Tribolium castaneum: one gene and its partner. The protein of the gene in region 2 interacts with the protein of the main gene of each other region in a pairwise test. Links are inferred from orthologs where the notes say so. Each region holds a gene or a part of one and is shown on either strand. Other genes may lie near its edges.

Region 1 (15,314 bases), on a different chromosome or scaffold from region 2:
GTGGCTTACTTTCTTAATAGAATGAATGAATCAATACAGAGATATTTAAAAGATCACTGGAAATAAATAGATTTTTTTCTAAAGAGTGGGCAGTCAGTTTTAGTTATTTGCCTACATCCATTAAGCTGTATGTGCAAAAATTGTCGAACAGTAGAATTGAGTATTAAAAACCGTCTGACACGACAGCAGACTATATAAAATTTTCCGATAAAAATATCAAAAGCTGTTGCCATCGAAACACAAACACTCTTCTGAAAATATACTAAAATATTTTTAAAAAAGTGTGTACGGCACGATGTCAAATTTTAGCAAAACAGTTTCAAAAATTTTTATTCCATAAAATACGTAGCACATACTGATTACTTATTATTAAACGATTATATTACCTTATTAATTTGAATTGGGGTTTCCAGCAGTTTTGAACATTTATACTTTTATTTAATTCATAAAAAAAAGAATCCAAAATTGTCCAATAGATTGCCAATTTATTTAAAAAATCCACGCTTTTGAAAGGCTTTTTATCGGCGCATAATTTCTAAAAAGATTTCAGAAAAGTATAAAGTTACTTATTTATATAGGGTGAAAGTATATATTATATTTTTACTGTATCTCAAAAACCAAACATCGAAATTTAATTTGTGATTAATTTAACCTCTTCCAAATAAAATAAGCTACAGAATAAATAAACTTTTGTTGGGGGGTTTTTTCTTTTTTAAGGCTAGAGACAATTTCTTTTACCAATCACTGCTTCCTAAGACAAGCATTTCTCTGTAGTAGATACTAACTTATTAATTAATTAATTATTTATTCAAATATTTTGTTTTGTTGGTGTTTGCGCAAAACAATTTTACCAAATCTGTATTACAGTTTATAAAACGTCATCTTGAAAAAAAAAGATTTCAAAAGTTTGTTTATAAGGAAATAATTTGTAATTAATAATTTAAAAAAGCACATCATGCAAGTAATTTCAAAGTGCATCCTGTAGTTACATTTTAAAATAACCGAACTTTCACGCAATCCAATTTAATTTAAATATTAAATTGTTCCGTAAATAGACCAACTACAAGTGCAGTCATTTTACTTCTTGCATTTCGAAGCAAAAAATCGCAACTGACACATTTAAAGATCGTCCGCATTCTTGCATAAACAGTCGTGAGGGAATGATAAGACAATTCCGCACGATACCGTTCATCGACTCGCAACTTATATATCGTAAAGGTCATCAAACGGAACCCGATTATCGATTCGATTCCAAATCCCGATAAATCTCCGCGATCATCCCACCACCACAAAACCCACCTGGCGTCCAAATCCAGCTTCTTAAATATGCTAATGACGATTTAATTGACACCAGCCGAGCACCGCTATTTGCACCATCAAACACTTCAATCATGCTGCTTCAGTGCGCGACTTTCAGCAGTCGAAGATGCGGCGGCCAATTTTCGTGTTATTTTTTCTGCTACATCTGAAAAATGCCAGAGTTATCCTTCCGACGGTACCCGATGTCATGCATCCACCCGTACCCGACGATGGTAGTATCAGTGCATTCCATAACACCTAACGGTAAAAAATGTCATTCAGCTAAAGTCGACCGAGATATGGCTTTTATGATGGAAGACCCCGATCCCGAAGTCACTCCCGGACTGTTCCAAGGGGACATGGCTATGACCAACGAGATCTACAACTACTGGAGGGTAGGGATACGGTGGGACGTGTTTCCGGAAAAACTATGGGTCAATGGGACTGTTCCATATGTCATAAGCCCCATATATGGTCGGTAATTAAACCAACGAACGACGACCACGACCGTAATCATTTCTCGTCACAGAACCATCGGACCAAGTGACAATTTTAAAAGCCATCCATATTCTAAACTTCATGACTTGCGTTCGGTTCGTACCATGGGATGGTAAAGCTAAAGATTATCTCCTAATCTGGCCCATCAAATACCCCAAGGGTTGTTGGTCATTTGTGGGTCGTTTTGGTGGCGCCCAGATTGTGAGTCTACAACCACCAGACGCCACAAGCCCAAATTGTCTTGGTACTGAAGGGAGGGCCGTCCATGAACTAATGCACGCCTTGGGTGTGTTCCACGAACAGTCACGATGGGACAGAGACAAGTTCGTTAAAATCCACATGGACAATATCATACCACGTAATAACACTTACCACTTGTATCACATAATAACTCGTTTTTCCAGAGTACAAAACCAACTTTGATAAGCAAAGCCTTGAAAATACGACTTACAGCTTCGAGTATGACTATGATTCCATAATGCATTACGGGAAATACTTTTTCAGTAAAGGTAAAAACAAACCTACAATTACAGCAAAGCAACCAGGAATCAAAAGGCTTGGTCAGAGGAAGGCTCTTTCCAAGGGAGACTGTTTGAAACTCAACGATCTCTATGGCTGTTTCGACAACCCTCGACTTCGTCGCAAATACTACACGTTATGTCAATTTATGGGTATTTAATTTATTTAAATAAAATTAATTAATCTTCAACTTGTCCTGTTTGAATCGACGCTGATAATAAACTACCCAACTCTTCCTCCTTGACTATGTCTTGTCCTTCAACCGATGGCAAGTCCGAAATCGGGTCGTACTCTTCGTCGAAAACATCATAGGGGATGAAATTCTTCGGTGCTGGCCATGCTTTCACTAAAAAAACAACTAACACAAAAGTACCACCGAAACAATTTTAATACAGCTAAAGTCCTTCGATTGCCCGATATGTTCGTAATAGCGATGATACTGTTTCAAAGTCTTCAAATACTCGCAATTGATTAAAAATCTCAAAAGTTTCACTTCGGGAAGGTATTCGTAATAAGGGTCGCGTTCGACCAAACTGCGCGTTCGCTGCAAATTCGCAACATCTGGTTTATCGTCACCAGAACTCTTAAAAACTACACTTAAGATGGTTCAACACCTGAAAATAATTAATTACATCGCTCTCTTCTTCCCTCTTGGCGCGGGCCTTCAACTGGTCGCTGATGAACGCATTGGCGAATTTGTACAAACGTTCGCAACACTCTGTCACATACATCATGGAGCTTTCCAGGCCGCTGTTAGAGTCAAACTCTTCGACGCGTTCGGCAGGACGGCCAAAATGCGACATCCATTCGTTCCAAAAACGCTAATTAAAAATAATTTGGTTGCCAGTAAAATGGTCGTACCGCTTTGACGTGGTGGATTGCTGATAACAATCGCACGTTTTCGAGACGTTCGGATTCGTGTTCAAAGAGAAGACTCAAGTGCTTGTGGAGGGCTTCTTCTGAACCTTCAGCTATGTAGCAGAAGTGGTTAGCGTAGTAGAGGAGGATCCCGGATAAGGGTTCAGTGCAGTATCCGGTGTTCGTTAATTTGTAGTTTTTTTCCATCGCTTCGACGATTTCACGAGGGGTAAAAGAATGCTCCCCGATGTAAAGCAATCGGTGAATGTAAGTGACCTGAAGTCTGTTCTAAAGAGATTGAATTTAGCAATTGCGCATACCCTCTTTGCTATCTTTAAGTTTGTTTGAACTACATCGTACAAGGATCTTCTAATTGGTTCAAGTACCACTTGTCTACTTGCTTCTTTACTCTTCTTTTTTCCTTTGTACCTCCTCATTCTTGACGTTTTATTGACAAAACGATTGCCATGGGAACTAATGACAGGATTCAGGATTTGGTTCTGTTGGTTTCTCAATCAAAACCCTTCGTAAAAAAACACCTTTTATTATTTTTTCTCATTAATTCTAATGACGGACTGTCGGATATAAGGAAAAATTATATTGTGACAATATAAACTAAAGTCGAATCTAATCACAGTTACAAACATTAATAAGAGAAGAACTTAATCGCTATGTATTGAGAGATAATACAAAAAAATTCATTTAGAACGAGCGAACGAACGTTCAATAAATATTTACCACATAAATAAATAGAAATTCTTTTGCAATAATTAATAGCAACTAAGTTGGGACGCATATGGAATGCATCTGAAGAAAAATACTGTATCAGGTCATTCCCTTGTCCACACTGTTATAGTTTTAATAACTTCCGTTGCTATATCCGTTGGATCGTCCGCCATTAGTGAATCTCTGGTGATTTCTTGGACCGCTGTTTTCGCGCCCTCGAAAACTTCCGCCGTAGCCCCAACGACCACCGCCACCGCCGCTACCCCCTTTGCTGCCGTAACTGCTACAACGATTCGCCATCTCAGACAGTCTCGGATTGATAGCCTGTTCAAACAAATAATTAGTTTACAGTTTAAAATTATAGTAGAAGTGTTGGGAAACTTGAGGATGGGATCCAGACAGAATTTGTGTGGACACCGAAGGCATATTTCCCAAGAATTAATCTCCCTTCCTTCAGCATTCATGCATTGCCGTCTTTTTCCAAGCAAAGGCATGCCAAAAAGGAAGGGTTTGACTCAAAATTAGGGTTCTCCTCACCTGGTTTGCTTCCTTAAGAACGGAAACCAAATCTTTGGCTTGTCGGAAATTGGATGGAGTGAAGAAAGCGTAAGAGGTGCCGGTGGTGTCAGATCGGCCTGTCCTTCCTATTCTGTGAATATAATCTTCTGAAGAGTTGGGGTAGTCATAGTTTATGACATATTTAATTCCTTCCACATCTAGAGAAAAGCTTGTTTTATATGGGTAACACGTGGCACAGTTCGTTAATTGTGTTAGCAAACACAGAAAATTAAACCTTGTTGTAACAAAACCAAATTAGTGAAACACAAGTTAATGACATGGTTTTCAATCAAAAGACAATAACGAGTTTTGTAACAATTTTGTATTTTTTTCATTTTTTGTTGGAAGAGTAATGAAATTGTTACAAAACTGTCATTGTATTATTGATATAAATAAAAAATATCAAGAATACTAACCATGACTCGAGTTTCAAGTGATCCACGAAGTTGTGAAGCATTTACAACAAATCATCGGAACAGCTATAGTAGCAAAATGGCTGCTGCAGTGATGTCCGAGCGCATGTGCTGCTGGGATCAATAAATATGCTGGCGCTCTAAACACTGCAGGACCGAACGGAAGACAAATACTCAAATTTGAATGACATTTGTTTGACTTGGCTTTTGGTAATTCCCCGAAACTTGTAAGTTTTGTTTTTTAGAAAGGATTATAAGGGATACATGGAATGGGATTGTGTATACCAAACATGTGCCATATTTGATGCGAAAGAGCACATCAAATCTTCCATCGGTCTTCTACCTCCTCAAATGATCTACCTCAGAGCGGGGTAGCCAGCCAGAGGCACCGCAAGACACAGAATTGCATCCTTTACAAGAACGCAACAAAGGCGTAATTATTAGCACTTGCTAAATACGCTCATCCTGCATGTGCCTCTGAAACAAAAAAGGACAACCAGACTGATTAAAAATCTGTTCCCTGTGGTATTGCAAACTAACAACTAAGCATAATTAAAAATGAAGATTCTTTTGGCTTGTTCCTACGACGATCATGCACACTCCCAACCCACCCACCGCACACCCCAATTTATAAAACCAGTCTGGAAAATCCCCCAAGTGCTACTATGCCATCATACTCAATATTTCCGAAGTTATGTGTATCAATTAAAGTGATAAATTTGAAAAAACTGAACATGGTTAAATTCCAAAAAAGAAACAGATGAAAAATCAAACGTTTCGTTCGGTTTAAAAACCTACCCAAGCCACGAGCAGCTACGTCTGTAGCAATTAAAATGCTCGATTTGCCATTTCGGAACTCTCTCAAGACGAAATCGCGCTCCTGTTGGCTCTTGTCACCATGCATGCAAACGGCAGGCCATCCGTAACGTCTAATTGTGCGGGTTATGCTCTCTACCTTCTTTTTGGTTTCTACGAATATAATGATTTTTGCTCCAGGCTCGCCGTTATTGCCGATTTCTTGCAACAAGTTATTCAATCTGAGAAAAAAAAAAAAAACGACAAACATTAATTTCACGAATTTTTCGCTAAATATATTATTAAATTAAAATTCAAATCAGTTCTTCTTAGAGGATTGGGTGTGGTAATAATACATCAGTATTATTTCAGCACTTTTGCTCATCACTTTGAAATAATTATTTTGTTAACGTCAAATTGGGAAAAATTGGTTTCTGACTATTTATCTCTGATTGGAATAGCAAATACTTCTTTAGGTATAATAGAAAACAAATTATAATAACAATCGTCGACCAAAAAATTAAATACAAATCTCGTGTTAACTATTTTACACAGCACAATTATTAACTGTGCCATGTAAATTAGCTACCATACGATGAAGAAAATAAAAATAGATATTTACTTTGTTTCCTTTTCGTGTTCCTGGCAAACATCAACGATTTGAAGAATGTTGTGGTTGGCCGACAATTGCAACGACCCAATATTGATTTGTACGTAGTTTCTCAGGAAATCTTGTGCCAATTTTCGGACTTCTTTGGGCCAAGTGGCTGACCACATCAAGGTCTGTCTGTCGGGTCTGATCTGTTCAATAATTTTGCGTATTTGGGGCTCAAAACCCATATCCAGCATCCTATCAGCTTCATCCAGGACCAAATAGGTACATCTTTGTAAATTCGTTGTTCCCTTCTCCAGGAAATCAATCAAACGGCCGGGAGTCGCAATACAAATTTCAACCCCACGTTCCAAATCCCTGGCTTGGGGCCCCTTGGGGGCGCCACCAAAAATACAGGTATTGCGAACATAGGACGAACTTCCGAAATCATGGGCCACTTGCTGGATTTGTTGGGCGAGTTCTCGCGTGGGGGCCAAAACTAGAGCTATGGGTCCATCGCCACGTGCGATAGATGGCTGGTTATTGATATGGACGATCGCTGGTAGGATGTAAGCCAGGGTTTTCCCTGACCCCGTCTGGGCAATGCCCACCAAATCCTTCCCGCTCATGGCAATGGGCCACCCTTGCGCCTGGATGGCCGTTGGAGTGTCGTATCCCTGTTTCTGGATCTCGTGTTGCACATAATCGGGGAAACACGCCTCTTCGAAGTTCTGGATAGGGTTGGGCGCATCGCCATCTATCGTGATTTCCTTGGACCTTCTGTACTGTTCGACCTCGTACTTTGACCGGTTGGCAACAGCGGGGTGAGGGACGTAGAAATCTTTTTTGAAAGGGCGCAAGTTCTTCATGTCCCAATTGGGTTTTCGGAGGCGGTTGCCCGGGGATCCGCCGCCGCCGCTGCGGCCGCCGAATCGGCTTCCACCGCCCCCGCCCCCACCGTTCTTGAAGCGGCTGCCGCCCCCGAACCCGTTGCGACTTGCGCCGCCTCCGAAACCGTTCTCGGAGCCACGGCCTCGATACGATCCGCCATTTTGTTTACCGTAAGACCTGGGACAGAGAAAAGCGGATTCAGTTAACATTTCCAGCTCCATTTTACGCAAAAACTTTGCTCAATTTCCCGTTATTTAATCTGTGTGACAAGTCAAATGACGTAAACTGCGATTATTGATTTTTCGAGACAAATTTAGGAGACAGCTGCAGAACAAAGGAACGGCAGACATTTTTAAATATCTGACTCGATTTAGCCAAATTACGTAAAAAACGGGTAAAATACGTCCGAATTCGCGTTTTTCGGTAAGAAAATAAGGTACTTACATGATTAAAACTGTCGGATGGTGTTTTCAAAAGGTGATTAAACTTGATTCTTGCAATTCTTTGGAGTTGCGAATTTCTGCAAAATAACGAAAAACGTCATTAGAAAATCAGTCCACTCTGTTTCCACCGCTTCAGTGACGACAAAAACGCTTAATTTTGAGGTAAAAACACTTTTTTGGTGGATATTAGAAAAATTTTCGGAAAAGCAAAAAAAGGCTACTCACCTCAACAACGTCCAAAGTTGAAGAGAAAGATGGTGGAGAATTCTGGAAGGGGGAGAGTGGAAACGGTTCTGCACATGCGTAGTACGCAATGCGACGCTTTCTGGGATCAATAAAACGGAAACGATGTTTTTGCAAAGTGGCGGAAGATTTGAATTTGTGCAATTTTCTATTGTTCAAAGAGAAATCGGATAGAGAAAGTAGCTCACAATTTGCGTGTGAGAAAGTGCATACTTTTTAACCTCCTGCAAAAAAATGGATAAATAAAAATTTCTAAAATACAGCAAATTGTTACAGCCCTGCAATTCAATATGAGATTATTGTTAATCTTTGTTATAGGTATTACTTCAAATCGCGTTATTTAACCACCTGTTTAGTTAAATAAGCTGATTCCTTACTTAAAGACGAGCCAAATCACCGCCTGATTTTGCGTTTGTTTCTTTGCAAGAAATTGATCCTCTGATTCTTTGCTTAAAATGTAGCAATCACCAGAGAATACTTTAAACCGCCTTATTTTGCATTTGTTTTTTTGGAAAAAGTTAACTTTCTTTGATTCATTGTTTAAGAACGAGCCAAATCGTAGAGGAATAGTTTAAACTGAAACTCTTTATTCGGTTACAAAAAAACGAATTATGTATTAGTTTGTACAAAAACGGCTCATTTTGGACGATCCTTTGCTTTGAACAAGAACGCTCGTTGACCATTAAAAGCGAGCGTTCGTTTAAGCGAGGTTTATTCGTTAAGTCCGAACCAATTTGTTACTAAAACATAGGACTAAAACGGGATTTGCATTAACCACTGTATACTATTAACTGTTACAAAATAGAAAAAAAACAATCAATACCACATTGGTTTATTGTGAAAATTGTTAACAATGGAACATGTTTTGAACAAAAAATACTGTTACTTCCTAGGCTGGTAAAAATTCATCAACCGTTACGATGCAATGTGAACAAGATCACTCCTCTCAATTGGTCTCATTTTTTTGTTGTAGGATTAGGGTATTAGGGTATAAGAAAAAAACCTTTTGTAATGGTACATTTTTATTTGAAATATTTGAATAAACAATTAAATTCGGATTTTTTGACATTTTGAACAAACGAGATGGAACACTTCCTCAATTTTTTTTCTCAGAAACAATTACATATTCAAGTGGAACACTTTGAAAGTGTCAAAAATCAATTTTCGCTCAATTACGTTTTGTCGAAAGTCGAAACTTGGTGTTACAATTTCCGGTTACAGGACCTATGAGAAAATTCCATCTTTTTCATTGAAAATTTCAATTCCTAATTTAGATTTGTTCGCAAAATATAAATATTTCGTTTTGTTTTTTAATGAATATAGATATACATCCATCCAGGTTAAAAATTGAAATTTGCCAAGAAAAACATTAGAAAATGAAATATATATTTTAAGTTACAACTATATTAATACTGTATTACATACAAGAAATGCACTTGCTGGAAACTTACAGAAGAGTATATAAATAATGACTTTTTTTAACAGTAACTGTATTTTTTTCCTTTAGAGAGTTTTAATGCGAGGGTCATGCAACCTAATTTGAGAAGAATAAACCCACATGTAAATAAAACTTGACCGAAATCGCGCTTCAACGAATCCCAAACACGAGTTCAGATTCGAGACTTATAATTACAAGGTACAAATATTGAGAAGGAAGAATAATAAAAATGAGGAAAAAAATATTAAATATTATGTAAAATCGTTAATCGTTATGATGCATTGGCGCGAATGATAACGTCACAGAATAATGAAATAACTTTGTGCTTTACGCACTCAGTCCGAGTACCGAGATACGCTCTCACTTTCCATTAAAAAAACTCATTTAAAAAAGTATAACAGTAAAAATGTTTGAGGTTCAAAAACGGGCCGCTAGCGACCTTGCTTTAAAACAAAATATTATCTAGAGATATTTCAGTCTTTTTCATATAGAAAATATCACATTCCTATCTATCAACGTTATTGTACATAGCTTAATATAATAACGCTTGGCGTTTCTCCCAGTCACGGAAAGTTAATGTTATTATTCTTTTGCTACCTTTTAAATCGTTAATATCACAGATGGACGTGCGCGCTAATCAGCACCACGCTAAACGACGAACGAGTTAAATACTTAATACTACACATATTTACACGACACAAGCAGTCATGTCAAGAATCGCAATAAATAAAAAACGAAAGGTACGAGTCACTTGCACACGACACGTACGGCTAAAACTCTCACTCTTTCTGCTGTCTTTAATTAATTCCAGTACAGTCAAAACATCCATACTAGTAACAAATCAACAAATCCTCTTTTCCCCGTTTTGTTTGTTTGACTGGACTCACCTAAACAGCATCGATTTTTACTTTTTTCATTTGATATTATTATAAAATACTAGAACGAAACGAGCCCGAACTCCCCTTCTATATGTTTCGTGCATTTCAACAGCATACAGATAGTTACTTCTAGACTACCTAAATCGTCTCGTCACCGAGAACACACAGATTACACACTAAATATATAAAGACAAAGACCGACCAAAACACCTCGAGTAGTCGTCGGAGAGCCCAAAACATTAAGCCTGATTAAAGCGGTGCGAACCGTCAACATCCCCTCTAATAATAACAAGAAAAAAAAACATCAATTTACAATAAGGTTACGTACATCGACTAAAAAACGGGGATGGTGCCATCTGACGGCAGATTTATTGCTGTACGGTGGCGGTTGCGGGCTGTTGAGTATAAGAGTAGGTGGTGTAAGGGAGGGGACCTTGGAACTGGCTGTAAGGACTTTGGCCTTGACCCATCGATTGATAAGCGCAAGGATTGGTTGTGTTAGGTATGCGATTACTCTGGAAGAATTTGTGGTTCATGATCGACTGAATGCCGTCAGAAGGGGGGCCTGGGGGCATCATGTAAGCCGGAGGCGGGACGGTGTACATGTTGGGGCTGTTGGTCTGCGGAAGGCCCCCATAGGCCTGGCGCTGGTTGAAACGCTGGTTGTAACCGCGGTTGTTACCTTCAAAGAGGGGCCAAATTATACCAAATTCAATTGCAGACATATGTAATTCTTCATTCACGATGTTTTGAACAAACCAATACGAAAAAAATAATTAAAAATCTTAAACCTTCTTCACTCTTTGCTTTTAAGTTTAGTTGTTACATAAAAATACAAAAAATGTGAAAAGCGTCTTACAATGGCAGTTTATCGTAAAGCTATAAAACAACAGCATTTAAAACATAGTATTTTTTGGCTTACGTTGAACGAAATTCCTCGAAATAATTATTGTTTTACTGAGCTGTTTTAATTTACAAACATGCTTAAAACGAAGTTATAATACCAATTTTAATATAATTCATACATTATACTTTTAATTTCCTCGAAATAACTACATTTCGGGCTGTAAAACATAGAAAAACACTCAAAAAACAGTAGTTTAGCAATTATTCGACAGAAAAAACTGACGTTTTAATTTACAAACATGTTTAAAATGCTTGGAAAAGGAAGCAATGACACCAATTTTTACATAATGTATTAATTTTTCACTTATTTGTGACATTCCTAAAAATAATTGAGCTTTAGACTGAAAAATGTGCTAAAACTCGATACAGAACACAATACAATATCCATCGAAATAATTACTTTTCCAGCCAAAAACAAGCAAAAGAATTTTTTTTTATGTTCAACCTCGATTACAAAACCTCGTCAAAGTTTTTACCGCAAGAACTCCAAACTTCCGATTCTTTAAGCTTATTTTTTTGCAAAATTTGCTGCCTTCTAGTCATTTGGTCATTTTTCAATAATAACATTTTTTAATGAATTTTTAATTTTTCAGTCAAAAATTTGAAAAATAGTTGAGTTTTTACTACAAAAACCTGCTAAAACCCTGAAGCAAAGATAACACAATTTTCAACCAAGTTTCACAATTTTTGGCATTTTTCTGATAAACTTGTTGCAAAGCGAAAAAAAAGGCATAAGAATCATAGCTCCAATTAAATTTTATTTTTCAACAAGACATACTCGTAACAAAAAAAATTAAGTTTTTACTACGTACTTAAAGCGAAAAAAAAAATGCAAAAATAGCAGTTTTTAACACAATTTTGTAATTTTTAGGTTTATTTTTGCCGGAATTCAACGACTTAATGGCGTTTCGAAACAAAAACATACTACAACCAAGACTACAATGCACGAAAAGGCAAAAATGTTATTTTTATCAAGTTTAACAAAATCTAGCGAAAATTAAGTTTTTACCACAAAATGCAAATAACATTTTTTTAATCAAATTTCGTCACTTTTGACGAATTCCTCCTTTTCTAATAGAAAAAACTTCATAAAATAACCTTCTTTTCACGACAGTAACACCATTTCAACCTCATTTCGTATTTTTTGGTGAAATTCTTGTAAATAATTACTGCTGAAAATCGTGCTAAACCCTCTATGAAATAATAATAATAAATTTCGAAAAAAAAAAAGCCAAAACGCATAAATTATACCATTTGAGATGATTTGGTTATTCGTCGTTTTAATTAACAATTTAATTTTTCCCTCAGTTTAGCGAAGCGAATATTCAAACTAATTTTACATAAATGATATGTGGCAACGTTGTTTAACAGTTGTGATCACAATAGAATTTCATCAACAATAAAAATAAAATAATTTTGAAATGGTTTCCTAGAAAATAATTCCCAGTGTTGGCACATCTATACATTGTGATTTTTTTGATAAATTTTATTTTTTTTAATTTAAAAAACTGCTAAGTCTGATGGTAAATTTAAAAATAAATATTCATCGTTTTGTTAGAGAACGATTACTTAGTGTGAAACAAAAAATAAAAAATAATGAAAACTGAAAAAGTTAACGAAATAAGTTTGTAGCTCCAATTTTTTTACATGCTTCTCAACAAGGTACCACTGAGTTGGTGCGCCAGTTTTTGAAAACCCTGTATAATAAAGTAGCCACATACTTCCCCAATTTCATAACACTGATAAGTGATAAAAAGTAAAATTTGTTTCAAATGGTTTGTCCAAAAACATTCGGAATAAAATGTTTTTTAATAACAGTTACACAAAATAAAAATTATGAAATAATCCACGCAAGACAATTAATTAACAATTGTTATTTCTTGTTTGTTATACATTTTAATCCTACGGTTGTATTTTATATCAGTCACTCCAAATACATACCGTAATGTCTCGGCCCGCCGTTCTGCTGGGGTTGCTGGTACATGGGTGGACTATACGACGTCTGGTACCCTTGTCCATTCTGAAACTGTGCATTTTGGTACCCAAACCCATTCGAAAAGCTCCTATTGTTCCTCTGCATATCATTCCTCGGTCCATTTCCATTATTAACCCTAGGTCCTCCATTCTGCCTATACTCGCCAAAATTCTTATTATTCCAAGTCTTTCCGCCCCGACCGCCGGAATTATTCGAATTAGGCGAAGAGTTATCCTTATTGCGATTATGCCACCTGTTTCTGCCGTTCTGCGAACCCCTCGAATTCTGTGCCAAATCCCTCAATTCCGCCGACACATTCTGTCCCGCTTCCTCCAACACAGCAATCAAATCTTTCGCCTGACGTTGATTATTCGACGTGAAGAAAGCGTAGGCTGTTCCGGCTTGCTGACAGCGCCCCGTGCGGCCGATTCGGTGAACGTAATCTTCGCTCGAGTTGGGATAATCGAAATTGATAACGTATTTGACGTCTTCGACGTCGAGACCACGGGCTGCTACGTCGGTGGCGACAAGAATCGATGATTTGCCCGTTCGAAACTCGGAAAGGACGTAGTCACGCTCTGGTTGGGATTTATCGCCGTGGATGGAGATGGCAGCGTAGCCTTCGCGACGGATGCATTTGGTGATGTCGTCGACTTTCTTTTTCGTTTCGACGAAAACTATGATCTTGTTGCAGGAATCGGAACCGATTTCTTTTAAAAGTTTGCACAGTTTTTCCTCTTTTTCGGACTCTTCGCACACTTCGACGATTTGCTTGATGTTGTGGTTGGCGGCCAACGACAGGCCTCCAATATTCACCTGGCGAAGACATTGAAATGTGTTAGGCAAAAAAAGCACCTAATTTACTAGCGCATTTTCAGTTCCAATTTTGCAGTTTTTTTAGTTTGTTTCTTTCAGCAAAATTTAATTTTAATCTAACTTTGGCAATGCCAAAGAATATTGTTAAAACATTAAAAGTTTCTCCGAGATTCACAGAAAATTCATAATGGATTTTAGTTTAAATATAAATAGCACTCTTCTTTCTTGTGTTAAATTTCATTATTCGATATTCGTTAAGTTTCTGGGTAGCGCGACCATTATCAAAAACTAGATTTAATAATTGATTGGAACATTCACAAAAAATATTTCCGAAATTCTGTTAAAAACTCAGTACTAAAGCTACTCAAAAAACAGGCAAATGGCAAATGTTAGCAATTTTCCACGTTTTTATAACAAAATTTATTCAATTTTAAGTTAAGGCTTAATACAAATTCATTTTATATAAAAATCTCGAATTCAGTAAAAATGTTTTTCAACTCTATAAACTTATTAAAAAAAACAGGCAGAAATAACAAACCTTTAGATCTTTTGGCAAAACTTGACTTTCGTGAACCCTTCGTTGAAAATAACTTTTAAATGTTTGGAACATATAGCATTTTTCAATTCAATTTCTTTAGTGATTTTTTCATTGTAAATCCCATAAAATCATAAAATAATATCATTTTACAGTTAGTTTTGTAGAAAAATTTTGAAATTCAGTAAATTTATGTACGAAAAATGTTCAAAATTTTTAAAACAAGCAAAAAATACTCCTAAATCTATAGAAGAAAAGCATATTCGATCTAATTTTGCAATTTTTTTTTCTAAATCTGTAGTATTTGAAAATGTGTAAGTAAAATAATTCTACTAAAATAAGTGAAAATTTAGAACTAAAGTTATAATTTTCTGTCTCGTTTTAGTATAATTTTTCGTTTTCTAACTTCATTCTCAGTGAAAAACTCTCCAAAATTCACAGAAAATAATGCATTATAAATCAAAATTTTCTACAGCAATCTACATTTAAACAAATACAGGAAAAAATAACATCCTCACATCTACTAATTTTTTACCAAAAAAAAAACATATGTCTTGTATAATAATAACTACGCTGTCTTATTTTACCAAAACATTCAGAATTTGTAATTTTTTTAATTTAAAACTCTTAAAATCATAAAATAATTTTATACTAAATTTTTTTAATAATTTTAAAATCTGATGAAAAAATTGTAAATAAACGAAAATTCAGAGCTAATGTAATATTTTGAATAGTTTTAGTAAAATTTTCCGTTTTTTAACTTCATTCTTAGTGAAAACCTCTCCTAAACAGAAAATAATTCATTTTAAATCAAAATTAAAAAAATAACATTCCCTAAAAATATTCAGAACTTAATTTAATAACTGTAACATTAGTGAGCAACTTTCTTGATTTTTTTTAACCCCTTGTTAAAATCAACTCTTAAATTCTT
Region 2 (15,145 bases):
TCCGCACTCGATATAGACTCTGAGACAACCCGAGTGAGTCATCTTTACTACACCCTTCTCCCTTTGAACCGGTTTAACCGCCCCCACTTGACTTACCTCGATCAACACTGGATACCTCCGTAAGGTCCAAAACCGTTTCCTCGTCGTCGGTGGTGCGACGCCGCTCGTCTCTTCGGTTATCCCTGCGGGCGCCGCGCCCGCGAGGACCCCCGAAATGACGCGGGGGCAAATCACTGACGCGCTCATCCGCTGTTTCCGGCGTCTGGTGACGCGATCCTAGAAAGATTTTCACTAAACCAAAACCGACAACCGACATTCATCGCTCGTTCCCAGTGATTTAATTAAATACAAATAGTTTCTTCAAAAAAACCTTCATGCAACCTTACTTCCTGATACTTGATTACCAAATCGTAGAAACATAAGTAATAGAGTAGAAATCTATACGTAATTAAAATTGGGACGAAACGAGTAATTAATTAAATTGCATTAACTGTTCGTATCGTAGATAAACAGCGCCACTAACACAAATCACCAACTACGACGCCAAGGGGGAGAAAAACGAATCAGTGAGCACAGACTCAAACACCCTTCAAGCTTTTTGCATGCGCATGCATTAGTTAGTAAAACCACGAGAAATCGGCTCGACTTTTTACTGGAAGGGTACGAGTCCGTACTCATACTCATAAAAACAAAAATGCAATAAAACACCAAAAATTTCATTTTTTAAATCAAGTTATATTTCTAAAAAAGTCTTCACAATTAATTAGATACGTGACACAGTTTTTAGTGAGCCAGTCTTTCGCCATGGCAGTCACTATTGCCCATTTTTTGGTATTTAAATTCCTTAAGTAGTGTTAGCAAACTCACAGTGAGCACAAACCGCGTTTCGTCGCGTTTTTTCACTCACTTTTCGTAGTCTACACATGGCTAAATCGATTTTGCGTACCCTTCCAGCAAGGTTATTTTTTTTGTCGAGATATTTAGAAGCCTCATGGGGGTTTACTAACTTCTAGGTCAGCTCAAACAACAAACAAATCACGACTTTTGTCTGTTATTTAAAGTAACCAATCTAATTATCTTATTGACAATACGTATTCGGGAAGGTGCAGATATCAACCGAACTAAGGGAAAACGAACAAAAATCACAAGGACTCTCATTTCTGCACCCACCGTCACAACAAAGCCTTGAAATTAAGTCACATTTCATTAGCGACAATGCTCGTTAGCAACAAATCCAATATTTATGATTACATTTACATTACTGTACTATAATACAGCGTAAACATTAAAGTAAGTCAAACTAAAAAAAATAAATCCAGAAGAGAAAAAAACTGGGGAGGGACAGGGAAGAAATTAATTCGTAATTAAGGGACAAAAATTTGAAGCCAAACAAAAATTATGTACATTCACTTGTTACAATTTAGTGTGTTATTAGCAAGAGAATTGAAGGTAAAAAAGTGTTAATCAAGCAAAAATTTCCAAATTTTTAAGTTGGTAAACGTCATTTCGTGTCATATCGTCGTTTTAAAAATCGTTTAAAAATTGTCGTCAGCCGGGTCAGTCTATATTTACTGATTTTGAAATGATTTTAGGGCTTTATGCAACCGTCGCAGTTCTCAAAAATCCTCATTACCAACGTTAGAAAATGAAAACAACAACAATAAAACCGGACGCGCTGCATAAAGCCATTCCGGTGTTAATGACGGGGCGTGTCGTCATCAGCCCCCATCACTTCCTCTCCCCCCTGTCGCCCCCGGCGGCCGAGTCGATGGACAACCTACCCTTGTTGGGTCGTTCGCGGTTGTTCGTCGGCGGTCCGCCGCCCCCTCTCGGGGGCCGCCCATTGCTGCTGGCATGACCGCCGCCACCGCCACCGCGTCCACCGCCCCTGCCGTTCCCCATCGGTTTGTTGGCGGCGTTGTTGCGCTTATCCACGTTATTAACATAATCAGTTATCGTACTAGTACCGGAATTGTAGCGGTCGTTTTGTCGTCCTCCGGGACCGCCGCCCCCTCGGCCTCTGCCCCCGCGGCCGCGCATCGAACCGCGACCAGGACGGCCGCCCCCGTCCATGTCCGAATTGTAGCCTCGGTCGTTTCGTCGACTCATCGACAGGCTCTGCATCGAACCGAGGGCGTTGCCGTGAATGCTCCTTAGCTGCTGGTCGATCTCGAGTTTCTCCTGTCTAAGCTGTTCCACTTCCTAACAAAACGAACAAAACATTATAAAAAAATTAAACTCGGCTGAAAATAGGTACCTTGAGGTGTGCCAGGTGATATTTGAGGAGGACTTTCGCATTGGATATGCTCTCTACGGTACCGACGAACACAAACGGTACTTGGCCTTCTTCGCGAGGAATCGTCGGTTGGGGCTCATTGTCACCTTCGATTTTAACCCGAACCTGGAAAAAATCGGTCAAACTGGTTCAACAACAATTAAATTTTACGTACCACACCGCTTTTGTCAACGATTTCTTGAATAATTCTGCCATTTTTGCCGATTACTTTTCCTACTAGCGCCCGCGGAACTTGAAGAGATTCTTCACTATATTCTAACATCGATCGGGCTTTCTTCACAGCCTCGTCAGTCTATAAAAATAAACAAATATTATTTTGTAGCTGCTTTTATTTTGCCATAATTCCAAGCACCATGAGCAGAAGTACTATTAAGTCATTCATAATCAAACCAATATAGTTTCTGTTTTTGAAAATGTTCTGCCCTTGTCTTTAATACAACCAAATTTTATTACTGGTACGAACTGTGAACATTTAAAACAGTTTTTCCTCTAGTTTCAAACAAAAATTCATGTCGCAAGTACTTTATACTAGCTGTGCTTAGACAGCTACAGACTTGCTGGTTTTAAAATGTTGTTAACACCCCCCGCTTATACATCCCCACTCCTTCAGCTCTTCTCGGGTGGGGTGTAGTTTTGGGTAGTTTTTAGTTCATAAGATGACTATGTAAGAAACAGTCAGAACAAGTAAACGTTTTTCCAACAAAATTCAAAATCTTCGTTTCTGTTTAGACCCTGGTCCTTCGACATACCTTTACATCTGGTCCTTCGAGCCGGATAATTTGTGAACCAGTGCAAAAACGACATACCTTTACAAATGTTAACAATTTTTCTAAAAAATCCGTCTCAGAAACTAAATAATATCAATTTTGAAACATATTTGACGCATTTGTCACTTTATGTTTACAAATACTGTTTATGACTTCAACGAGTTTTGCTCCAAATAGGGAGGTCATCTATCGGATCTCCGATAAACTATCATCGAAACAATAGCGATAATTTATTGATGATAGAGTTTTGGGCTCGATATTTTTCGAGTTAAAAAAATGATTAGTGGGCTTTCTCGCTTTCTCACCTCTCCATATATTTTAAACGTGCAAGAATTTTCTTCAAGTTCTATGTTCGTAATACCGTCGACTTTCCTAGCTTGTTGTATGTTGGCACCGTGAGCCCCAATCGCTAGCCCCATCAGATCTTCCCTAACGTTGAACTCATCGGAAAACCTGCAAAAAAAAATCGCATCATCAACACAAGAACAAAAAACACCAAACACCCCTCGGCTCGACTTGACATGCACAAATTTTCTCTCTCGTACAAAATAAAACAACATGCTGTCAAAACAAAAAATAAATCCGGTAAATTGCCCCTAAAATTCGAATAAGAGCCAAGAGGAATGCACATTCTACAAACATGCGTATTTTTTTTGAACTTTTTCAAGTCTCACCTTGAAATGGTCTCGTAATTTGAGACACGCTGGTACATGGGCTTATACTTGCTGAAAGAGAAAAAACAAATCGTCAGAAAAACATCAAAGAAGCGTCCTTTTGGCTCAAAATCGGAGGCAATTCACCGTACGTTTTTTTTACAAGGGGAGGAAAAATTGCTTACCCGCCGATTGTCGCCAACTTCGTACTCTCCAACTGCCTCGCCGCCTCCTCCGTACGTTTCAATAAGAGCACTTTTTGCGATAAACTACGAAAATGCATGTCTTGCACAAGACGCGCGCATCTGCGACTCGACTCGTTCCTCGATATCACTACGAGAACACCCTTTTCCGGAACGTACCTAATGAGACTAGCACCGATGGCGTTTTGAAACTCTTTGTGAGCATTTTCTATTTTAGCACTGCGAAAAAAAATCATGTGTGTAAAGACAAAGAAATCTCCGACAAAGACTTACTACTCGCGGACGTCTTCTGGTACTTCGATTTCGAATTTGACAAACATCGAACTGTCAATCGGTGGATTAGAGTTTTTGACACGAAGACGATCGTCGCTGACTATTTCCGTGTACGTTGTGTCCCAGCCGACGTATTCCAACACGTAAAAGTCGCCTTTCATCATCTGAGGAAGAAGAGCGAAATTGCATTGCTTGTCCATTCGGTTAGAAACGCCATAATTACTTCATTGCAAAATTAGTTTAAGCGTGCATCAGTTTTAATAAACTTTTTTAATAAAAAAGTTTATAAAGAAGTTGTTGTAAAATGTTTATCTCTTTTGAAGATATTGCGTGTGTATAATTATGTCTCATCCAAAATCTCCACACAAATAAATTTTACTATACATAAAAGGTATCACCTTATATCGCTTAATTGTTGATTATAATTATTGAAAATAATGCCAGACGTGTGTTGACTTTAAAACCTCGAAATCCCACAACAGTATAACTTAGGAAAGGCCCTGTGTATTGTATCAGATATTTGTTTGAGAATAAAACATGTTATTATTATGAATCCAATTCTAAAATTAGAAAAATCAGAGCTCCAGTATTACACGCGTTCAGATTAAGTAGATAAATTGTCTTAGGTAATATTTTACATCCTATTGCAGTGTTCCTAGCGGTTACAAAGATTTACAATTACATAACAACCGACCAGTGGGTAATGGTTTCAGACCAGTGGGTAAAGGTTTAAATTAAGGTAAAATTAGATTTGTAAAGATTTAATTATTTATTTTTCTTAAAAAGTTGATTTCAAATTTTCTCATTCACTCGTCCTCAATTCCGAGTATAGTTAATTTTTGCCGTTACAACTTCGGAACTATTCGAGTACGTCCGCCTAAGTTAGCTTGTATTCAGATGGAATTACAAACAAAACGACTAGTTTTATACTCTTTAAATTAAATACGGAAAAAATAAAAAAATAAACAAAAAAGTCAAAAACTGAAAATTATACACAATGCCAACATAAAACAATATTTTAAACTTATTAAAATGTAATGTAATTATGCCAAACAAAAAATTTAATAGTACATCAGAAAACAAAATGCCAAAATTTTAAATTCCAAAAGATGTTTTTGGATTACAGTTTTTTAATTTATCGACATCTCAGTACTTTTGTCCAGTATGTGGCAAGGACAAAGCGATAAGAGATACAACAAAAAAACTGAGAGGAAATGAGTACAATTTTCCATATTTTGGAATTTGTGCAATTATGATTACATGTTTCGATTTATTTCGGTCAAGAAGAAAATCCTTCCCAATAGAAAATACTAATCGGACCAAAAATAAAGATTAAAACAAAATAAATAGTTAATAGAAAAGTTCAAAGTACGCAATTAAATTCCAAATTCGACGAGTCATGCAATGTGTCCTTTTTCTATAAATAAACTTTAAGTAATAATGTGTAAAATTAGACGATCCGCAACTTTTGAGCGTCAATTTTTACAATTTCTATCGCATTGTCATATTTTACTTGAATGTGGGAAATTTCGAGTAGCGAATAATGAAATGAGAGAAAAAAGTGAAAAGCTTATTGCATTTGGGAAACAAAACGTTATATGAAGAGAAATACGATGCGAGGGATTTTGAAAACAATCAAATAATTCTTGTTTGTTATTTAGTGATGAGTGAAAATTAAAATCAATAACATGGAACTTATTAATCTAGAGTACTTGTCAAATTTGAATATTGACAACTTTTCCGCATCACGTGATTGGGGTTCTCACAAACAATTGGTGAGATAAGGTTTTTGACACCTAAGTAATTTGCTTGTCATTATAGACCACTAATTATGATTCAAATCAAACAAAACAAATAGAAAAAACTTGAAGATAACAAATTATCACATAAAGAAGAAATAAGCGCTTACACAACCACATCTTCTTTCTCACCTTAATTCTAGACTTCCACCATCCATAAGCCTCTTGATGATTAGCTCTGGAGTATACTTCAACCTCCATGTTTTCGGTAAACTCGACCTTTGGGTCGGGTTTTGGGGGCAAACGAACTTGAGAAAAGGGAAACTTTGAATCCGGTTGCCACCTAATTAAAATCGTGCTTAATTACAGTAAAAAAAAAAACAAAAAAATCAACTTACTCATCCTCAAAATGTATAAGAACGGAATCCTCAAACACATCAACGACGTACCCCTGGAAAAAAACGCCCGTTTTAATTCATCGAAACTCCCAACCACCACCACTGGTAACATGATACTCGTTCATACACAAATTCGAACATAACCTTGCCTCGAAACGCGTGATTCCTGCCACTTTCCTTGAGGAAAATCCCATCAAATCCTAGGGAATCGATCGATGGTAAGGGGGAAATTGGGATTTGGGTGAAAATTTGCTACACATGGAAAATTCACGCCCTGTCAGATGGTCATGGCGTCAAAAGAACCGCGTTTGCAACTCCAAGATTTCGGGATTTTTCTCGGAAAGTATGGGGTTTACGGGGGTGGCGGAGGCTTGTGCTCAAGCACCGACACATGGACAATGGACGGGAACGCAACGATGGATTGGCAAAAGCATACTTTGTGTGGTACAGACCTTATAAAGGGCCCCATTTTCGCCGCATACTTCCACTGCCAGGTCCTCCATGTTGGTTTTGTTCTTGGGTGAGGAAACAGCCTTGAGCCGAGAGGGAGTTGCACTGCTGCCACTCTAGCAAAAAGAAATTCAGTGAGTGACAGATACGAAATGGAGAGCTGGGATTGGTCGAAAACCGAAGGGAGCAGTGGCGGCGCCAGCGACACCAATAAGGGGGCAAATGAGGATAATTCAACAAGCTGATAGACAAACCTGCTTTATTTCTCCTTAAATTAGAAAAGTTCTTCTTAAATCCTTATTACAATAAAAGATTAAGTAGTCCTAAGTTATTCTGATCGTCCGAAAAGTGCTAGTTTTTAGAAAAAAACTACTTAAGTTTCTTGTTTTCACTTACATTGCTTAGAAGCATCACATTTGTGATAGGAATTTATCTTTAGAGATAGTAACTTTCCGGGATCGATTATTTTAAATCCACAGTACTATTTTTTAAGATCCATGTAGGCATTGGCAATTTATTGTACCTGTTTTATATTTTAACAAAAATTGAAAATATCGTTTGTTTTTTGTATTACCAATAGGTTTTTTCAAATATTTTCTGCGACGAAGAATAAGCGACATAATCGCTTGACGTCACAGCCGCCTTTCATCACAGAATCTTCGTATCATTAAATCCTCTCAGTCACCAAAAACAGACATTTTTCACACATCTTCGACAAAATAAAAAATTAACTACTTTCTAGACTTCTTTCGGGTCCAAATTTTTAAAAAGCAAAAACGTAATTAATTGTTTGAAAAAATTACCGCAAAATAATTATTTATGAAAAAAGTGCTAGGCGATTTTACCGTCCAGTTCAGCAAAAGTTCAGCAATTGAACACAAATTGTTCGCAAAAGTGGCAGAACGAATGGTTTTTGAAATAAACAACTTTAGCAGTAAACTAGTTTTTGCCAGAACAGCAACACCGCTCAAAAGTTATTGAACTAAAGCTTACAAAGCCTGTTAAAAATTTTGCTTTTATCATTTTTAATAAACTAACAAAAGATAAACGTTTTAAAAAAGTTATTGAAATAACTTATTAACTTAACTTAATTTCATGAGTGATAAAATTATAAACAAAAAATTTATTAAAAAAAATATGATGTGATGACAAAAATTTTATCAAATTCGTGAACTGTAGACCAAATCAAATTTTACTCAGATTGTTCAAAGGACAAGACTTGGGTTGAGTAGTGTAATTATTCAAAAAATAGTTGCAAAATTTTATCATAAAACGTGTAATTAGTTCAAAAATGCGCTTAAACGTTCGATAAAGGTAAAAATTTAAGATACATAATTTAGTGATTTTGCGGTTGATAAACAAAAAACAAAGTTTTTAGCTCAGAAACATAGCTTTATTGCCTGAAAAGCAAAAATTACACAATTTTTGACGTAATTCAGTATTTTTTTTAGAAATATTGCCAAATATTATATGCATAATGTTATTTTTGACCACATTTAGTTATTTTTCGGCTCAATTTACGAATTTTTTTGGATTGATTTAGCAAAATTTTGCATAGTGTGTTTGGGAATGCAAAAGAACTCGACAATTTATAATTAAAATAATTAAGCAACAGATCAAATTTAACTAGAAACAGGGCCTTAAGACATTTTAGCTTCCACAAAAACACATTTTAAACTTTGACAGTTCGATACTTCCTATGGATACTTCAAAATTTAAAAAAAATATCACCCGGCAACCATCTTGGATTTTGGATTTTGGACCATGAAACATTTAGAGATTAGGATTGTCTTCTGCCATTATTTTTAACCTTTTTTTGCAACATTTGACAAAGCTTTGAAGACGGTCTTTGAGCTACATGTTAAACGTTCCCATGTTAGCCCCCCTTGCGCCGCCACTGCCCTGGCACCGCAACGTGACCATGACTAGTTCGTCAAACTGACAGGCCCAGCGGCGCTGTGCGTAATCACGCTTATCTTTTAAACTAAACGTTGTCATTGGTTTTGTAGGGCGCCGAAATTTGCGAGTGCCCCCGTGACAACGCCCCGAAATGACGAGTCGCTCATGAGACAATGTCCAGCAGCAGCGACTCGGAGGAATTCTACGACGCCGAAGACCTAACACCTAGTCATGGTCCAAGGTACGCCCCAAGCACTTTTTACCTCCAAGAAGACTTTCATTTCTTCACTTTGGACCACCACAACACCACTTTATTTACACTTCACGACAACAAAAAACAATTGAAACACATGCCCTTTGACAGATGCTCGCTTGCCCACTTGATAATTATATCGTGTAAAATTTTATAGAAAAAATCGGAAAAGCTCCAAGGAAAGTCTCACCCAGAGGGCTAGTTCGGAACCTAATGTCTCAACGGTGCCCCCAGGTCACGACGAGAGACAGCTCCAGTCGGTCAATGAGATTGTTTTTGTAAGTGAAGGTGTTACATAACCTCAAAAACATATGGTTGCGTAGGTTGAGCCCCAGAAGAGGACACCGCTTGGTGGCCGGCGCAAGTTCAAGGAGTTGAGACAGAAGCTGCAACACGACGATGAGGACTGTCAAACTGGCAACGTTACGCCCCCCAACAGCCAAACATCATCAGTTGAGGGGGTTTTCGCCGCCTCCAATAAGACCTCCCACCCTTTCCGTATCATAGAACAGGACACTGTGAGCCTCCAGAGTATCAATTCTTTAGGACGGCTCACACGAATTTTAGGGGGGATCGCCGAAGGGGGTAATAATTCAGTGATTGGTTTTGTTTAAATTCTAAATAATTTAATATTAGAATGTGGCCGCAAGGCCGTTTCCGTATCCGCTCTCTCCTCCAGCTCCCTCGACTCGGGCTCCACCCCCAGCTCGAAGGGCATCTCCCAGTACCCCAGCAATGCAACACTGACTTCCGAAAAGTCCAGTCTTCCGCTACAAGAACCCGACGTCATTGCAAGCACAAAAGCCTCCTCTTCGCAAAAGAGCGACGATCAAAATGTGGCACCGGTGGCTCCCCCACGTCGCAAAAAGAAAAACAAGGCGGCGCTCCAAATCAAAGTATGTCTTGGACCGCTATCATCTTTTTTTTAAAGTCGGTATTGCAGAAATCTGCATCGAGTGCGACTTTTGAGTCCTCCGACCTGGCGAGTCCTGCGAGTACCATTGAGTCTTTGACGCGCGAATTCGAACATTCTCTCGATCGCCTGCCGTCCGGCAACGAATCGCAGAGTTCGACGCTACGGTCGGGGCACTCGTTGGATATCAAGCAGGCGTTGAAGGGTCAATTTGTGGTCAAGCCCCAGGATAATGAAAGTTTGAAGGCCGGGGAAGGGGGTAAGGTTAAGAGTGAAGTGGTCCAAGCAGCGAGTCCGAGAGGGTCTTCCACGAGGTCAAGTGTCGGGCACTACAGTTTGGGACCTCATAGGTATTTATACATTTTTGATGATCAATCAAGTTGGCTTTATACCATGTCCATCAAGTGGGCCTGAGACCACTTGATTGATTAAATTAACTTCATAAAAAGCTTTTTAATAGCACAGTTAATAGTAATTTATGCTTCCCTTATCACGTAAAATCTAAAAAACTAAGTTCTATAATTCATACACGATGTTTTTGCATAAGAAATTTTGGCAAAAGGCAAAAAATACTATACTTTGGACGATCATTTGTCAATTTTCTGTTCGGCTTTTTTCTAAAAATGTTGGAAATTGGTTAAAATACCGCCATTTTTTGACACGGCGATATTATGTCTTAGTTTTGGAGAAAAATCTTTTGCGTTTGAGCCTTAAAACGAAAATGTAAAAAAATTGTGTTTGTGGATAGAAAAAAATATTTTTTAGCTCAAAAACCTGTTGAAGTGCCAGAAAAATAAACAAAAATCCTACGTATTATTATTTTTCATCGAATTTATTGATTTTTTGTTTCAAATTAGCCACATCTCACGAAATTTTGAGAAAAAATTGTGTTTTTTTAAGGTCGAACTTAAACATTTTTATCAAAATTTCTGAAAGTAATTATTTTTGGTCAATGAAGTATTTAAACACTCGATGTTTGCGCCTGTTTTTGGAAAAACTCGCGAAAGAAATGCCCTCAAAAAGGTTTTTTTTTAGCAATATTGCTCAAAAAAAGCAAAATAACTTAATTTTTTGTCTAATTTATCTAATTCTCCCGAAAAAACTGAGTTTTTAATTCATTAGAGATTCACTTGAATTTACAAAGAACGCTGTGGATTTAGTGATTTTTCGGTCTAGTTTAGCGCCATCTCACGAAAAAATGCGTGAAACATGCAATAATAGGGCTGTTTTCAACTCAATTCGGTAATTTTTCGGCTTGATTTTCACAAATTTTCGCGAATTAATTGCATTCCTGTGAAAAGTTCAAAAAGTCTTCTATCAAAGGCAATAAAAATCTGTCAATCTAAATTCCACAGCAAGAGTTGACTAAAGACTTTTTGAACGCACCGTATAATTATTGTTTAACTAATTTCACTCAGATTAGCAAGTTTTTAGCTTAAAAAAGTATGTAAACGTAACAAAAATATACCATTTACAATACTATTCGGTACTTTTTTGCATAATTTTTTACGAAATGATGCGTACCTGGCTAAAAAAATTGGCGAATTTACGCAAAACATTGACTTTTAGACTTAAGAAATGTCTAAAAGTTTGAAAAAGGCAACAATAAACCCATTTTCGACACTATTACCCAAATTTTTCGGGTTAGTTTTGACGTTTTGACTAAATATCGCGCAATAAATTCGTTTTTGACTGCAATTTTTGAGCGATTTTAGTCTTCAAAACGTTTAAAAAAAGTAAAATTCGATCAAAATTTAGATATCAAATTATGACTGGTATGGTCGTAGTCGTGGTGCCTGGGCCCTAGTTTTCTGACAGTGACAAGTGACAAGACATGAAATTTTATGCAAATTCTATGTCCGACATCGAAAAACATCTTGAATGGATTATATCCGCTCAAAAAAATCAAATTTGAGCACAATTTTGGGTTTCGCAAGTATTGCATACTGAATTTTTCCTTAGAGGAACACACCAGTCGAACAATCGGAGTACAAAAGAGCGTCGGAAATCCGCCGGTGACGAAAACATGTTAAAAGATGCGAATTTAAAAGTTCGGACTCACACCGACTCCGGTAAACAATTATCCGACTTCGAGATTTTGGAGCAAGTGACTGTGCTCAATCTAGATACCGGAGAACGAGTCCCTTTGAGCGTAGCCGAAGACAAGCTACCTCAATGCATCAATCCCTTATCCCTCCACATAATGCGACTAACCTCCGAATACGTGAGCAGCTCAAGCATGGAGAAAGAGAAAGAATCGGACGAAGAAAGCGAAGAGAAAAAAATCGAGATCCCCATCGTCGACGACAATGAAGACGTGAGTCGGATGCGGAAGAAGACGGCCATGTTGAAGAAGTTCGTAGGCACCGCGATGAAGAAAACAATGCACAAGGCCAAAAGCATAGCCCAGGAGGTGTCCCACGCCCGCCACAAGGAGGACATCATCGATATCGTCGATGTTGTCAATCCTGGGGAGCAAACAATCAAACTCAAGGCTTCCAGCTCGCACAAAGGCCCCTACGAGTTCGAGAAAGTCGAGCATGTGCAAGAGCTCAAAGACGAGCACGAAGGGCCCATCTGGTGCATGAAGTTCTCCTGCTGTGGGCGTCTCCTGGCCACAGCGGGCCAAGATAAAGTGTTGCGGATTTGGATCGTCCGTGACGCTTTTCCCTTCTTCCAAGACATGCGGACCAAATACAACGCCGAGAAGGTGTCGCCAACTCCGTCGCAGGAATCGCTAGTGTCGCACCATTCGGGCGAGAACAGCAATTTGGCGGTGTTGGAAGCTATGACTTCCGAGGAGTGTGGCAAGATGATGTTTATGCCGAAGCCCTTTTGTACATATACGGGGCATACGAGCGACTTGTTGGATGTTTCATGGTCGAAGAATTACTTCATTTTGTCGAGTTCCATGGATAAGACGGTTAGGTTGTGGCATATTTCGAGGAAGGAGTGTTTGTGTTGTTTCCAACATATTGATTTTGTGACGGCGATTGTGTTCCATCCAAGGGATGACAGGTGGGTTCTAGTGCAAAGTGCGTTTTTGGACCATTGGAGGATAATTCATAGTTTACTATCACGTCCAGTTTCTGCGCCGAAGTGGTGCTTCAAGTTTTGTGTAGCTCGGGGTTGTTTAAGTGTATAGTAGGAGAACTACATACATTTTTCGCAAAAACCAACATGTATTGTACTTCTCTTTATTTGATCTCAAGCCTTGCTATGAGATTTAAAATATCGATAGAGGAGTTTTATGCAAAAGGTCAAACATTTGGAACGTTACCTTTTGGATTTTGTTCTTTTTTATTTTTCTACTTATTATTTTTTATTTATTTATTTTATTTGGATTATTCTGTGAATTTAAAAATGGCTTCAAGAGTTGTAAAAGATTTGTATGGTTGTGGATGTCATGTAGCACCAACGAAGACATGATATACTGCCGCTCAAAAAATTTCGGACACAGCAAGTTTTACGGTTTCTAAGCAAGAAGTCGTCTGAAATGAAGTGTTTACAACCAAATTGGTGCTTAAATCATCGTTTTTGATGTTTTTACTATCATTAAAGGTGTCTAGAAAAAACTCAAAAGGCCAATTTTGGTGGAAGATACACTGCCGCTCAAAAAATTCCGGACACTTCCAAAATTTTTGTTGTGGTGCATGAAAAATTATGAAAACTTTTATATTGTGTTTTACCAAGAAACAGCATCTTCGCAGTGAGAAAACCAAATGAAACAAGAAGTTACCAAAACAAGAAGACATTTAAGAAATTATCATTAAAAAAAACGAAAAAAAAAAGACTAATTTAAGATCATTAACGGGTGTTACAACCAAAAGCTTTTATTACGTCTATTAAACGATATGGCTTGTTTTGGATGGGTGTGGTAATCTGTTCTTGAGGAATTTGAACATTCTTTCTCCAGTGCCACTTTTAAGTTATTTGACGTCTCCAGCAGGGGTTAGCTACGTTCCATTCTTTTGCCAAGAAATTCCCAAACCAGTTCTACTGGATTCAAGTCGAAACTATTGGCTGAGCACGAAAAACATCGTGTATTAACTTATTCCAATATCAGATAACAATGTGATGGCGAGCATTATCATCCACAAAAAGATAATTTCTGACAATGAATGGCGCATAGGAAACCATATGTGATTCTACACATTTGAGGAAGTACCTATCTGGTGTTATTGTCCAGTTTTCAATAAACACCAAATCGGTATGGGCTTCTAAAGAGGTACCAGCCCAGATCATTAAACTGCCACATTACTGCTTTGTTAAAACCCGCTCTGAGTGATATGCAGCATTGATTGAATCTCTTGTTTGGTCTTTGCCACACTTTTTCTCGACAGTCTGATGATGTTGAACTAAATCTAGATTCATCTGTAAAGAGTACGTTCTTACATTTGTTGTTGCCTCAACTCACATAGGGTTGTGCAAATTTAAACCCTAATCTTTGATGAGCTACCCTTAATTTAGGATATCCAGCCGGTCTTTTAGCAAATGGACCTGCTTCCTTGAGTCTCCTCTAGACTATTGCAGGTGAAATTTTTACTTTACGAACTTCTACTAATCCTCCAGCAAGGATATTTGATGACAAGCTACAATTTCACAAAACAGAAAAACCCAGGAAATGGCCATCTCGAGTAGTTGTTGAGCTCCCACGACCAAATCCGGCTTTTTTGTGAATCCTTATATTTTACAAAACTGAGTGTACGTCCTGCACATTTTTTCGCGGTATTATGATGTTATACTGTATATTCAACACTTCGGCCATCATTGCTTAAAGCAACAATTTTTACAGAAATTTCTGGTAGCATCGTACGCAAATGAGTCAAACTGTTATCTGATAAGCAGTTTTGAGCAACAAAAAACAATTTAAACCAAAAACAACGTGATAATTGAAGTTATGTACCTTATCCCAAAGTACACGGTTTAACGCTGGTGTAGACCCAAAAAGTACAATGTAATCATGAAAATTTCTTCTAAACCCCGTTAAGACACTAGCTCATGATTGATTGAGTAAAATTTACACAAAAAATTAAGTATTTCTGATTAAAAAATAAAGTGACCGGATTTTTTGAGCGGCAGTGTAGTTAAGAGATAAGTACAGAATTCCACAGTGCAAATTACTCCAAAAAGACATGGGGTGAAGTCAATTACACTTTGGTTCACTTATGTTGTGGCGACAACCTACTAATGATACAGAAGATTGCTGTTTCTGGTTAAACCAAAAGGATTTTATAAAAAAAACATTTATGACATACTAGAGACTTGTCAAAATCCTGATTTTAACAAGCTGCAGAAAGC

The links.
Region 1: the proteins of Fmr1 (region 2) and Rm62 interact in binary tests that used the Drosophila melanogaster proteins (3 or more experiments, as listed by UniProt). The link is inferred for Tribolium castaneum from reciprocal best matches to the Drosophila melanogaster genes Fmr1 and Rm62.

Annotation. Positions count from the first base shown.
Region 1 is NC_087394.1:23,993,857-24,009,170, forward strand, and holds Rm62 (ATP-dependent RNA helicase p62), read right to left. Parts: upstream 7,672-15,314; 5' UTR 7,596-7,671; coding exon 7,594-7,595; intron 7,327-7,593; coding exon 6,289-7,326; intron 5,909-6,288; coding exon 5,670-5,908; intron 5,349-5,669; exon of another isoform or gene 4,875-5,348; intron 4,617-4,874; coding exon 4,438-4,616; intron 4,409-4,437; exon of another isoform or gene 4,268-4,408; intron 4,225-4,267; coding exon 4,033-4,224; 3' UTR 3,703-4,032; downstream 1-3,702. Other genes in the region: probable WRKY transcription factor protein 1, read right to left, coding at 1,300-1,393; hatching enzyme 1.2, read left to right, coding at 1,473-1,773, 1,829-2,155, 2,202-2,476; uncharacterized protein LOC135267436, read right to left, coding at 2,496-2,662, 2,710-2,899, 2,949-3,137, 3,178-3,450, 3,495-3,611; uncharacterized protein LOC103312134, read right to left, coding at 10,520-10,833, 12,999-13,848. UniProt on the Drosophila melanogaster protein: As an RNA helicase, unwinds RNA and alters RNA structures through ATP binding and hydrolysis. Involved in multiple cellular processes, including pre-mRNA splicing, alternative splicing, rRNA processing and miRNA processing, as well as transcription regulation.
Region 2 is NC_087400.1:7,268,155-7,283,299, reverse strand, and holds the start of Fmr1 (RNA-binding protein FXR1), read right to left. Parts: upstream 9,089-15,145; 5' UTR 8,960-9,088; coding exon 8,942-8,959; intron 8,920-8,941; coding exon of another isoform or gene 8,852-8,919; exon of another isoform or gene 8,789-8,851; intron 8,738-8,788; exon of another isoform or gene 8,608-8,737; intron 6,896-8,607; coding exon 6,782-6,895; intron 6,383-6,781; coding exon 6,330-6,382; intron 6,275-6,329; coding exon 6,124-6,274; intron 4,357-6,123; coding exon 4,193-4,356; intron 4,139-4,192; coding exon 3,902-4,138; intron 3,789-3,901; coding exon 3,738-3,788; intron 3,517-3,737; coding exon 3,369-3,516; intron 2,589-3,368; coding exon 2,451-2,588; intron 2,402-2,450; coding exon 2,258-2,401; intron 2,203-2,257; coding exon 1,782-2,202; intron 277-1,781; coding exon 97-276; intron 20-96; coding exon 1-19. Other genes in the region: WD repeat-containing protein 44, read left to right, coding at 8,852-8,919, 9,089-9,209, 9,255-9,516, 9,568-9,827, 9,875-10,194, 11,807-12,862. UniProt on the Drosophila melanogaster protein: Polyribosome-associated RNA-binding protein that plays a role in neuronal development and synaptic plasticity through the regulation of protein synthesis of mRNAs.